Linked DNA regions of Sus scrofa. The protein of the gene in region 1 purifies or fractionates together with the protein of each later gene. This does not show direct contact. Links are inferred from orthologs where the notes say so. Each region holds a gene or a part of one and is shown on either strand. Other genes may lie near its edges. The genes, in order: ARHGEF1 and GNA13.

The links.
Region 2: the proteins of ARHGEF1 (region 1) and GNA13 purify together in Homo sapiens (affinity purification with western blotting; 5 studies listed by BioGRID and IntAct, with this or other methods). This does not show direct contact. The link is inferred for Sus scrofa from reciprocal best matches to the Homo sapiens genes ARHGEF1 and GNA13.

The regions. Positions count from the first base shown.
Region 1 is NC_010448.4:49,992,554-49,996,799, forward strand, and holds the start of ARHGEF1 (rho guanine nucleotide exchange factor 1), read right to left. Parts: upstream 2,882-4,246; 5' UTR 2,588-2,881; coding exon 1,974-2,587; intron 1,031-1,973; exon of another isoform or gene 738-1,030; intron 1-737. Other genes in the region: CD79A (B-cell antigen receptor complex-associated protein alpha chain precursor), read right to left, coding at 3,563-3,676, 3,817-3,885. UniProt on the Homo sapiens protein: Seems to play a role in the regulation of RhoA GTPase by guanine nucleotide-binding alpha-12 (GNA12) and alpha-13 (GNA13) subunits. Acts as a GTPase-activating protein (GAP) for GNA12 and GNA13, and as guanine nucleotide exchange factor (GEF) for RhoA GTPase.
Region 2 is NC_010454.4:11,964,111-11,968,543, reverse strand, and holds the start of GNA13 (guanine nucleotide-binding protein subunit alpha-13), read left to right. Parts: upstream 1-1,630; 5' UTR 1,631-1,954; coding exon 1,955-2,237; intron 2,238-4,433. UniProt on the Homo sapiens protein: Guanine nucleotide-binding proteins (G proteins) are involved as modulators or transducers in various transmembrane signaling systems.

The DNA.
Region 1 (4,246 bases):
TAGGGGGAGGGACTGGCTGCTTAGAAGATGGGGCATCAGGATATTCCGCAAAGGTTAGGGAATTCTAGGTTGAAGGGGATGGATCTGCAAGCAAGTGACAAGGCCTGGTATCCTGTGGAGGGGGGTGCGGTATGCATGGGGCTGTTGGGGGGGTCCTAAAGCAAAGAAGGCACGTGTGAGGGGTTACATGGGTGCCTGGATTCTAGGCAGGGCTCAGAGTCTAGAAGATACTGAATGGGTGACTCTGGTCTCCAAGAACGTCTGGGAGCCTTAAACAACCTAAAATACAGAGTAGTCAAGGTGAGTCCTTGAAATGTATAAGGCCCCAGATTCTACTGACACATGGTAGGTCTACAAGGATCCTCAGATCACACAGGAGCTTGATTCCATAGGGGAAGTAGCCAGTTTATGGGACCTTTGGAGATTTAAAAGGGGACTAGAACCCTGTAGCGGAGTGTGGTGGTCCTGGAGATCCAGGATCCGGGCCCCGGATTCTAGCGGATGCAACTGATTTATGAAAACCCCACGTCTGTAAGGAGCCGGATCTCCATGGGGGGCTAGCAGGAACCTGGAGGGGTTGTAGGGGGGTCTCCACGAGCCCCAAATCATATGCAGGACGTGGCGCGTGTACACGGACCCCAAAACCTACAGGGGACGTGGCAATGTGCACCGTCAGGGATGCTGGGGCGGACGTGCAGAGTCAGGGGCTGATGCCCGCCGGGGGCCGCGTCCCTCACCTGCTCCGGGTCGGAGGAGAAGCACTGCAGCAGCCAGAACCGAAACCTCCGCGCGCCGGCTCCGGGTTCCCCCACCCCGGGCTCCGAGTCGCTCTAGCCGCCCCACAGGCCACCTTTGCTTCCGGCTCCACTCCTCCCGCCAGCCGCTCTAGCCCGATTCCTACCAGGTTCCTGCCCAGGAGACTCTACTCCTCCTTGCCGGCCGCTCTAGCTCTCCACTGAGCTACGCTGGCCAGATAGGGCCGCTCTGGCCCGTCTTGGAGGGCTGGCGTTTCCATATCTCGACTGCCCCCGTCACTCTCCTGGGCCCCACCCCCACCCCACCCCCCGCCCCCAGGCTAGAGGTAAGGATCCTTCCAGTGCCCGGATCGCGCTCCATCCGAGCTCTCTGAGTTGTCCTGGACCTTAGCCCCCGAACTGGAGTCCCCGCCCTATCTTGCCACCCTAACTTGGGATCCTTTGAATTCCCCACGCTCGTACATTAATTCTTCCCGCACTGCCCTCCACCCCTCCACCCTGCACACTTTCCGCCGGGGCTGCAAGGCGAAAATCCTGGGTTGGAGCATCTGACATGCAGTGGAACGCGGAAAAAGAAATTAACTCTCCCCAGGCCTCAGTCTTCCCATCTGTACAATGGGGAAAGATCTCCAGTTCTGTACCCTACAACCCATCTCCCAGGGTATAATTAAAGACCAGAAAAAGGTCTTTATACCCCCCCCCACAACAACAACCAAAAAACCGCTTTTAAACGCACTCTGCAACTTTCAGCTTCACAGTGGCCTATGGCTGTTATTGCCGTTTTTCTTTTTCGGTGGCTCTAAAGCATGCGGGTTTGGAGGACGGCGCTTAGCGGAAAGCACCTGCGAATTCGAATCCCAACTCCATTCGGTCTCACGATGTATGTGCCCTGGGATGAGTCGGTTTTACTTCCTAGGCCTCAGTTTCCCTACCCGTGCAATGGGAGTGGTCATCCGTCCTCCGCCGAACAGTTGGCGGTCCTTAACCCCAGAGTCTCAGCCCTCACCCCACCTACCCGGACTTGGCAAGTGTTAATTCTCCTCTCTTTGTCCCCTTTGACAGATGGGAAAACTGAGGCCTAGGGAGGGGCGGCTGCTGGCTTAGCGGGGCTGGGAGGAGGCCCTCCACTGCCGGCAGCGCCCAGCCCCCTCCCTCCACCTCCCCACTTCCCCTGGCAGCAGCGGGGAGGGCGGCCGGGCGGGGCCAGGGCCGGTGTACCTGGTGTCCGCGCGGGGAGGTGACCGGCGGGGCGCCCGAGGTCGGGCTCGGCGATCCCGGGCCCGGTGTCCCAGCTCCCGCTTCCTGGCTCTGGCGGGGCAGGAAGTTGGGGCGTTTTTCCGGAGGCCCCCGCCCCGCCGCCCCTCCCCGCTTCCTGCCTGCGCCCCGCGCCCGCCCGGCACCTCCGCTTCCTTCCCCTTCTGGCCGCCTGCCCCTCCCCTGCTTTCCCCAGATCGGCCCTGGACCTGCGGGCACCCGCCCCGCCCCGCCCCGACCCCGCCCGGCCTCTCCCGGCTTTGTCGGTCTATCTGTCCGCTGGGTGCGGGCTCCACGTTTCTCCCATCTGCGTCGACCATCAGTAACTGGCAGGGCCTGGGGGCCGTGCGCCCGCATAGCAGCCTCCCCTGCCTTCCGTCTTTGTGTGTCTCTCGGTCTTCCTCTCTTTTGTTCCTCTGTGTGTGTTTCTGTCCGTGTCCCTCTCTCTGTCTCCATCTCTCACTTTCTGCGTTGAGGTTTTTCCTTCCTGCTCCAAGGCCCCTGCTTCTCCCGGTTGTGTCTAGTCCCTTTCTCACTCGGAGCCTTCTCTCCCCATCTCCTGCATCACCATCAGTCATTTCCCCACCTGTTGCTTTCCTAGAGTCTCAGGGGTCAGCCTCTCCATGTCCATTTTTCTATGGACCCTACTTTTTCTGTCTCTTGCTGCTGTCTCTCTGCCAGAGTGTGGTCTCCTCAGTGTCTCTCAGTTCACTTGCTCTGTCTCTCCATCACTATCTTTCTGTCTCAGTTCCTCTCTCCCCTCTAGCTCAGAATCTGTATCTCTGTTCCTCTTGTGTCATCGCTTCTGGGTCTCCCCAGCACCCCCAATTTAGGGCCATAGACTTTCCGCATCCCACTTCTACAAGTTCACACCCAGAGAACAGGTGTGGCCATGATCAGAATTTGGTACCAATCTCACCATACAGTGCCCTGTGTCTTTGGGACTTAGCTCTGCCTAAATTAATGTGGTTACCTGGGTACTTCCTGTGTCCCCCTCTGCTCAGGCACATCACCTGGGATGGGCCCCTCCCCAAGACACTTCCTATTTCTTTCAGGGGGCAGCCAAGACTGGCTACCTGCTTGCAGGCATGGGGAGTGGGCAGGGGCTGCGGAAGGAGGGGGCTGGGGCCTTCCTTGGACTCCTGGGTCCCAGAGAAGGAGGAGGGCGTCCCCATGAGATCCTTGACTCCTGCCACTGTCTGCAGTTGGGAAGGATTTATTATCACTAAGTGGCCATGGCAGAGCAGGGATGGGGGAGGTGACACTAACGAGGCTGCTACAATCAGCTCCCCTAGAGGCAGAGATTAAGGGCTCATTACCCACTGGGGGCGAAGGGGTGGGGGTGGGAGCCTGGGCGAGGCAGCAGGAGGAGGATTGAGTGACGGAGGGGATGAGGACAGTCCAGAGGGAAGAATAGTGGACACTCCCAAGAGGGAAGTTGTCAGGACACACCCAGAAAAGACTGTGAAAAAAGAGCTGGTTCCAGGGAAGATGCGAGTGAGACGTGGGTTGGGTGCCCAGTTGGCAGGGCAGCCGGGCTGGGTCAGGCGGGGTCACGGCTTCTCTAGCTGGACGTCTCCGATGTGGAGGCTGCCCACGTCCTGGTAGGTGCCCTGGAGGCCCCGGGAGATATCCTCATACATGGAGCAGTCATCAAGGTTCAGGCCCTGGGGGAGAAATGCAGGGCGGGGCTCAGTGCCCTGATGTGCAGGTCCCTGCCCCCAGCCAGGCTCAGGGAGGAACCCCATGAAACCCCCCACCCCACAGACCTGCACCTGCCCTGCACCTGCCCCCACCTTCCACTCACCTCGTAAAGATTTTCATCATCATAATCATCCTGGACATCCGCCCCGAATTTCACATTCTGCCATCGTTTCTGTGGGGGGATTGGGAGCCTCCGTGAGTCGGGGAAGGGGAATGTTTTCAGACCCTCATGAGGGTGGGGAGGTGCTTTACCAGAGAGGGTCAGGGAGATGCCCAGGGCCACATATCCTATTGGTAGCAGGTCTCTCTAGGTTCAAGCCAGTGTCCTTTTGGCCCATGCTTCACGGATAACAGCGGCAGTGTTAGTAAATAGGTCTAGAGGCCCTGTGGCCTAAAGAGAGGCTGATGCAGGTCAGAGACTCCGGGAGGACGCCAGCCCCCATCACCCAGCCTTGGCTACACTTAGAGGCTACAGCCCTGCTGGGTGGAAGGGAGAGTGGACATGGGACAACCCTGAGGGAAGACAGAACAAG
Region 2 (4,433 bases), on another chromosome or scaffold:
AGCTGGGCCAGTTCTGAGCTAAGCTTGTTCCAACACAAGGTTATAGGCAGGGCTTTGAATAGCTTTCTCTGCTGTTTTGCATGTCACAACATGAACTGGCTGGGCAGGAATACCTTCCTGCCTCCTAGGCATCCTTGGTTCTCCATTACGTTGCACACACTTTTGGAAAAAGAAAAAAAAATATGTTAACTACTTAACTGATAGGCTTCCCTCTTCCTGTTTTCGTAGAATTCAGATTAGCATCTGGAGTCCATATAGAAAGGGTGCTTGGAGGCCGGTGCTAGACCCCTGCCCTGGTTCATCCTTTCATGGGTGGAGAACAGAGCCTCCCAAACACTAGCTGAGGCCACAGAGAGATCTTGCAACCAGGAGAGACGTTTACCCTATATTTTACCTGAAGGCACCACCTAGTGATTCTGGCCCTAACAATCCTTAGATATTAAGAGTTGAACCTACACTACTTTGTATATTGTAGCTTGTCCACCCTGTGGGCTTGGCCAGGACAAGAGGAGATAATCCCACTACAGGCACTGTTTACTGCAGCCAGTTTACTGAGTCATGAGGCTCCTCGGACATTAACCCAACCCAGACAGTGAACTGATTAGCACTGATTTTTAAAATTTAAACCTGTTCCTGAGCCTCTTGGGAGTGCTGACCTCTTTCTTCAGTTTCTGACGCATAGACGTTTCTGAGCCACAGAAGTTCTCATCAAGGAACATTAGGGTTGTACTGCCATAAACGGAGACCACCCCAAAAGCCTTTTTGCACTTAAAACTAGAATACCAAGAATGAAGAAGTTGGCTTTTGGGGGCCAACCCAGCTGTCACTGGTCGCTTGTCTCCTGGCAGCCCTTCAGGTGTCCTGGCCTGAATCTGCTATTAGGATAGGAAAAAAGTCCCTTGGCTGGTCATATCCTCTGTAATCTGGCAGGAAACCTAAAATTTGCCGGCTCTTCTCCTCGGTCTGTTTGCTTATCTGCTTCCTTGTTAGGGAAGAGTCTGCATCACAGTGTCCGGTTAAGGGGGATTTTCACCATGACCTCACCCTACTGCAGCTACATCTTGATTTCAGCAGCTTGGGTTGGAATCCGCATCAATGAGACATCAACAACCCCTCCTCGCCCATCTCAGATTAACATCAACACGAAGTCTTTCTCCTCCAAGAGATGATCTTTGTAGGGCTCAGAGAATACCGAAGAGAGCTGCGGGCCGGTGTTGGGGAGGATGTGAAGATGTTTGGTTAACGTTTTGAGTTTGTGAGAGCAGGATGTCAAGGAAGATACTCTAGGAAAACGCACCAAAAACTTGCCCAACTCGCGCTCGCTCTTTGAATAACATTCAAGCCAATGGCCTCGAAACTAGGAGAGCGAACGATGACAGCCGGCGACCCGCACGTAACCGCGGCGGGAGCGGTTGGGGAACCCAAAGTGCTGCATCTGAGTTCTTCTCTCCGGGCCCCAGCCTCCAGGGCTCCCGGAAGCAGCCCTTGGGCGCGTAAGTGGGTGCAGCTAATTAAAGGGAAACAGAAAGGCTGGCTCTGCAAGGCGCCCAGCCCGAGATCACATGAACACAAGGCCCCACCCCTTCAACCCCTCCCCGCGCGCGCCTGACGGCGGCCGCGAATTCACAGTAGAACGTGATTCTCCGGCCCAGCGCACGGGTCGGAGGAGCCGCCGCGGCGTGCGCGCGCGCCCCCGGAGGCAGCGGGCACGCGCACGTCCCCCGGGCCACCGCCCCTCCCAGGCCCGCCCTCCTTCCCTCCCTCCCTCCCTCCCCGGCTCGCCTGGCCCGCCCTGCGAGTCAGTTCGCTGGTTCCCTCCCTCCCCCGGCGCGCTCGGGTCGCCACTGCGCTCCCCGCCCTCGAGCCGCGGTGCCGGAGCCGCCCGCCGCCCGAGGAGGAGGTGGAGGGAGCCGGAGGGGCCCGCCGAGGCGGCGGCGGCGGCGGCGGCGGCAAGATGGCGGACTTCCTGCCGTCGCGGTCCGTGCTGTCCGTGTGCTTCCCCGGCTGCGTGCTGACGAGCGGCGAGGCCGAGCAGCAGCGCAAGTCCAAAGAGATCGACAAATGCCTGTCGCGGGAGAAGACCTACGTGAAGCGGCTCGTGAAGATCCTGCTGCTGGGTGCGGGCGAGAGCGGCAAGTCCACCTTCCTGAAGCAGATGCGGATCATCCACGGACAGGACTTCGACCAGCGCGCGCGCGAGGAGTTCCGTCCCACCATCTACAGCAACGTGATCAAAGGTGCCGGGCCGGGGTCGGAGCCGGGGGGCCGGGGGCCGGGGGCGGCCGCGGGCCGGCGCGGGACCGGGCACCGCCCTCGTTCGCTCAGTCCCCGGAGTAGAAACGGGCCCGGCGGGCGGGCGCGCGGGAAGGGGGCGCGCCCCGGGCACCGACCCTGCCTGCCCGGGGTGCCCTTGCCCCCAGCGGAGGGGATGCCTGGGGGTGCCCCTTTTCCCTCTTGCTGCGGGGCAGGGATCCCGGCTGGCCCCCCACCCCCCACTCCGTCGCTGGCCTCGCCCCCTGCGAGAAGGGAAGTGAAGGGAGCCGGGTGCCGGGAGTGCGGGGTGCCCCCTCCTGTCTTCCCTCCTCCGGACGAGGCAGCAGACCCGAGAGCCAGCCCCAGACCCTACACCCTGACCCCACGCCCCAGCGCTGCCTGCCCAGCCTCGCCTTCCCGGGTGGGTGGGTGCCCGAGTCACATGGGATCGGGGCTGCTCCCACTTCCCTGCTTCCTTGGCCCTTCCAGTGTTCTGGAACCATCGCAATGAGGAAACTTTTGCCCGAGACTCTGGTCAAGGGCGAACGGTGACTGCTCTTGGACCCTTTGGGGCAAGGATATGAAACTTGAGGGTGTCCTGTTTATTGTACTGGCGTCAGGAAAGAGTAGCCCCATTTAGTTAGTCTAAAAAAGTTCGCAGCGGTGGTTTTTCGCCCGGGTGTCACGGTGGGGCAGGATGTTTGCCTGTAATCACTATGCAACACGTTCCACTCTCCTTTTGCTTAGTAACTGGGGGCCGGAGGGAAGGGGTACCACCACTTGCTTCTACTACTTAAATTAAACTGTGTGTTGATAATAAAGAATCTTTGGCCTAGAAGTGATGCAGAGCCTGTACAAGTTGAGTCAGTGAATCAGTGTCGGCTCTGCTTCTGTTTGTCAGTATTTTTTAAGTTAGATTAAGCCTTGTTAATAAGTGAAAAACGCACAAGAACTTTATTTCTGGTCTTTCAAAGAGCTAAGAGAAGAGGGATTTTATTTTTGTCGTTTGAGTGTTAATTAGCACTTCATTTTCTTTGTATCATATTTTCTACTTTATAAAAGGCATTTGCCAAAGTTGCGGTACGGAGTCTGGTACTTCAGGTGTGTCAGGATTCTCTCTGTTGCATCTGGGTAGCAATTATCTAGGAGTTCGCTATAGATTTCAAGCTTTTCCAAGCAGCATTTTTTTGAGTGGGATTTTTTTGTTGTTCAGGAAGTGCTTAAGTTACTCTCTGGTGTCACTTTTTTTTCTCCCAGGATTGAGTAGAGGAAAACTGCTTGGGGGGGGGGGAAGGGGAAGCTTTGTGAAGCTAATAACGGGGGAGAGCACTGCGCCAGGAACTCATAGACCACAGCCAGCCCTAGTACCTCTGCAGTTAAGTTATTAAAAAAAACCGGTTGTATTTATCCCTTCTTAACGTTTAGTAGTGCAACATTAATTGAGGTGTCTTTCAAAGCCGAAGACTCTGCCTAACCAGGCTCTAATTGAAGGTACCTTTGTATACCGATGCCCAAACTTAAGGAGTTCTGTCAGTGAATAGTTAACATGTTAACTGATTATAAGCCAGCTAAATAAACATCTGGCCCTGTTTTGTTTTTCATGTTTTGGTTTTTTTGTTTGTTTGTTTTGTCATTTTAGGGCTGCACCCATGGCATATGGAAGTTCCCAGGCCAGGGGTCCAATCTGAGCTATAGCAGTTGGCCTCTGCCCCAGCCACAGCTACAGCTATGCCAGATCTGAGCCACATCTGCGACCTACACCACAGCTCACGGTAACACTGGATCCTTAACCCACTGAGCAGGGCCAGGGATCCAACCTGCGTCCTCATGGATACTAGTCGGGTTCGTTTCTGATGAGCCACGACAGGAACTGTACCTGGCCCTCTTTTAACACCTGGTTCTCAATGTGCTCTGACTTCTAAGTGTGACCTACTTTGAGCCTTGATTATGAGATGAAGTCACTAGCCATCTACTTTTTTGAGTTGGCATGATCAGAAAATTGACAGCCAAACAGTTTTTCAGTTATCCAAACAAGTGACCTAAGAGCCATGTGATTATTGAGAGGGACTAAAAGTAACAGCTTAATGATAGAAATAATGGGTTTGAATTAATCACCATGAGTTTGAAATCTCTGTTTTTATACTGTTTTTGCAATTGGTCTTCCTCCTTTTAGGGAAGTC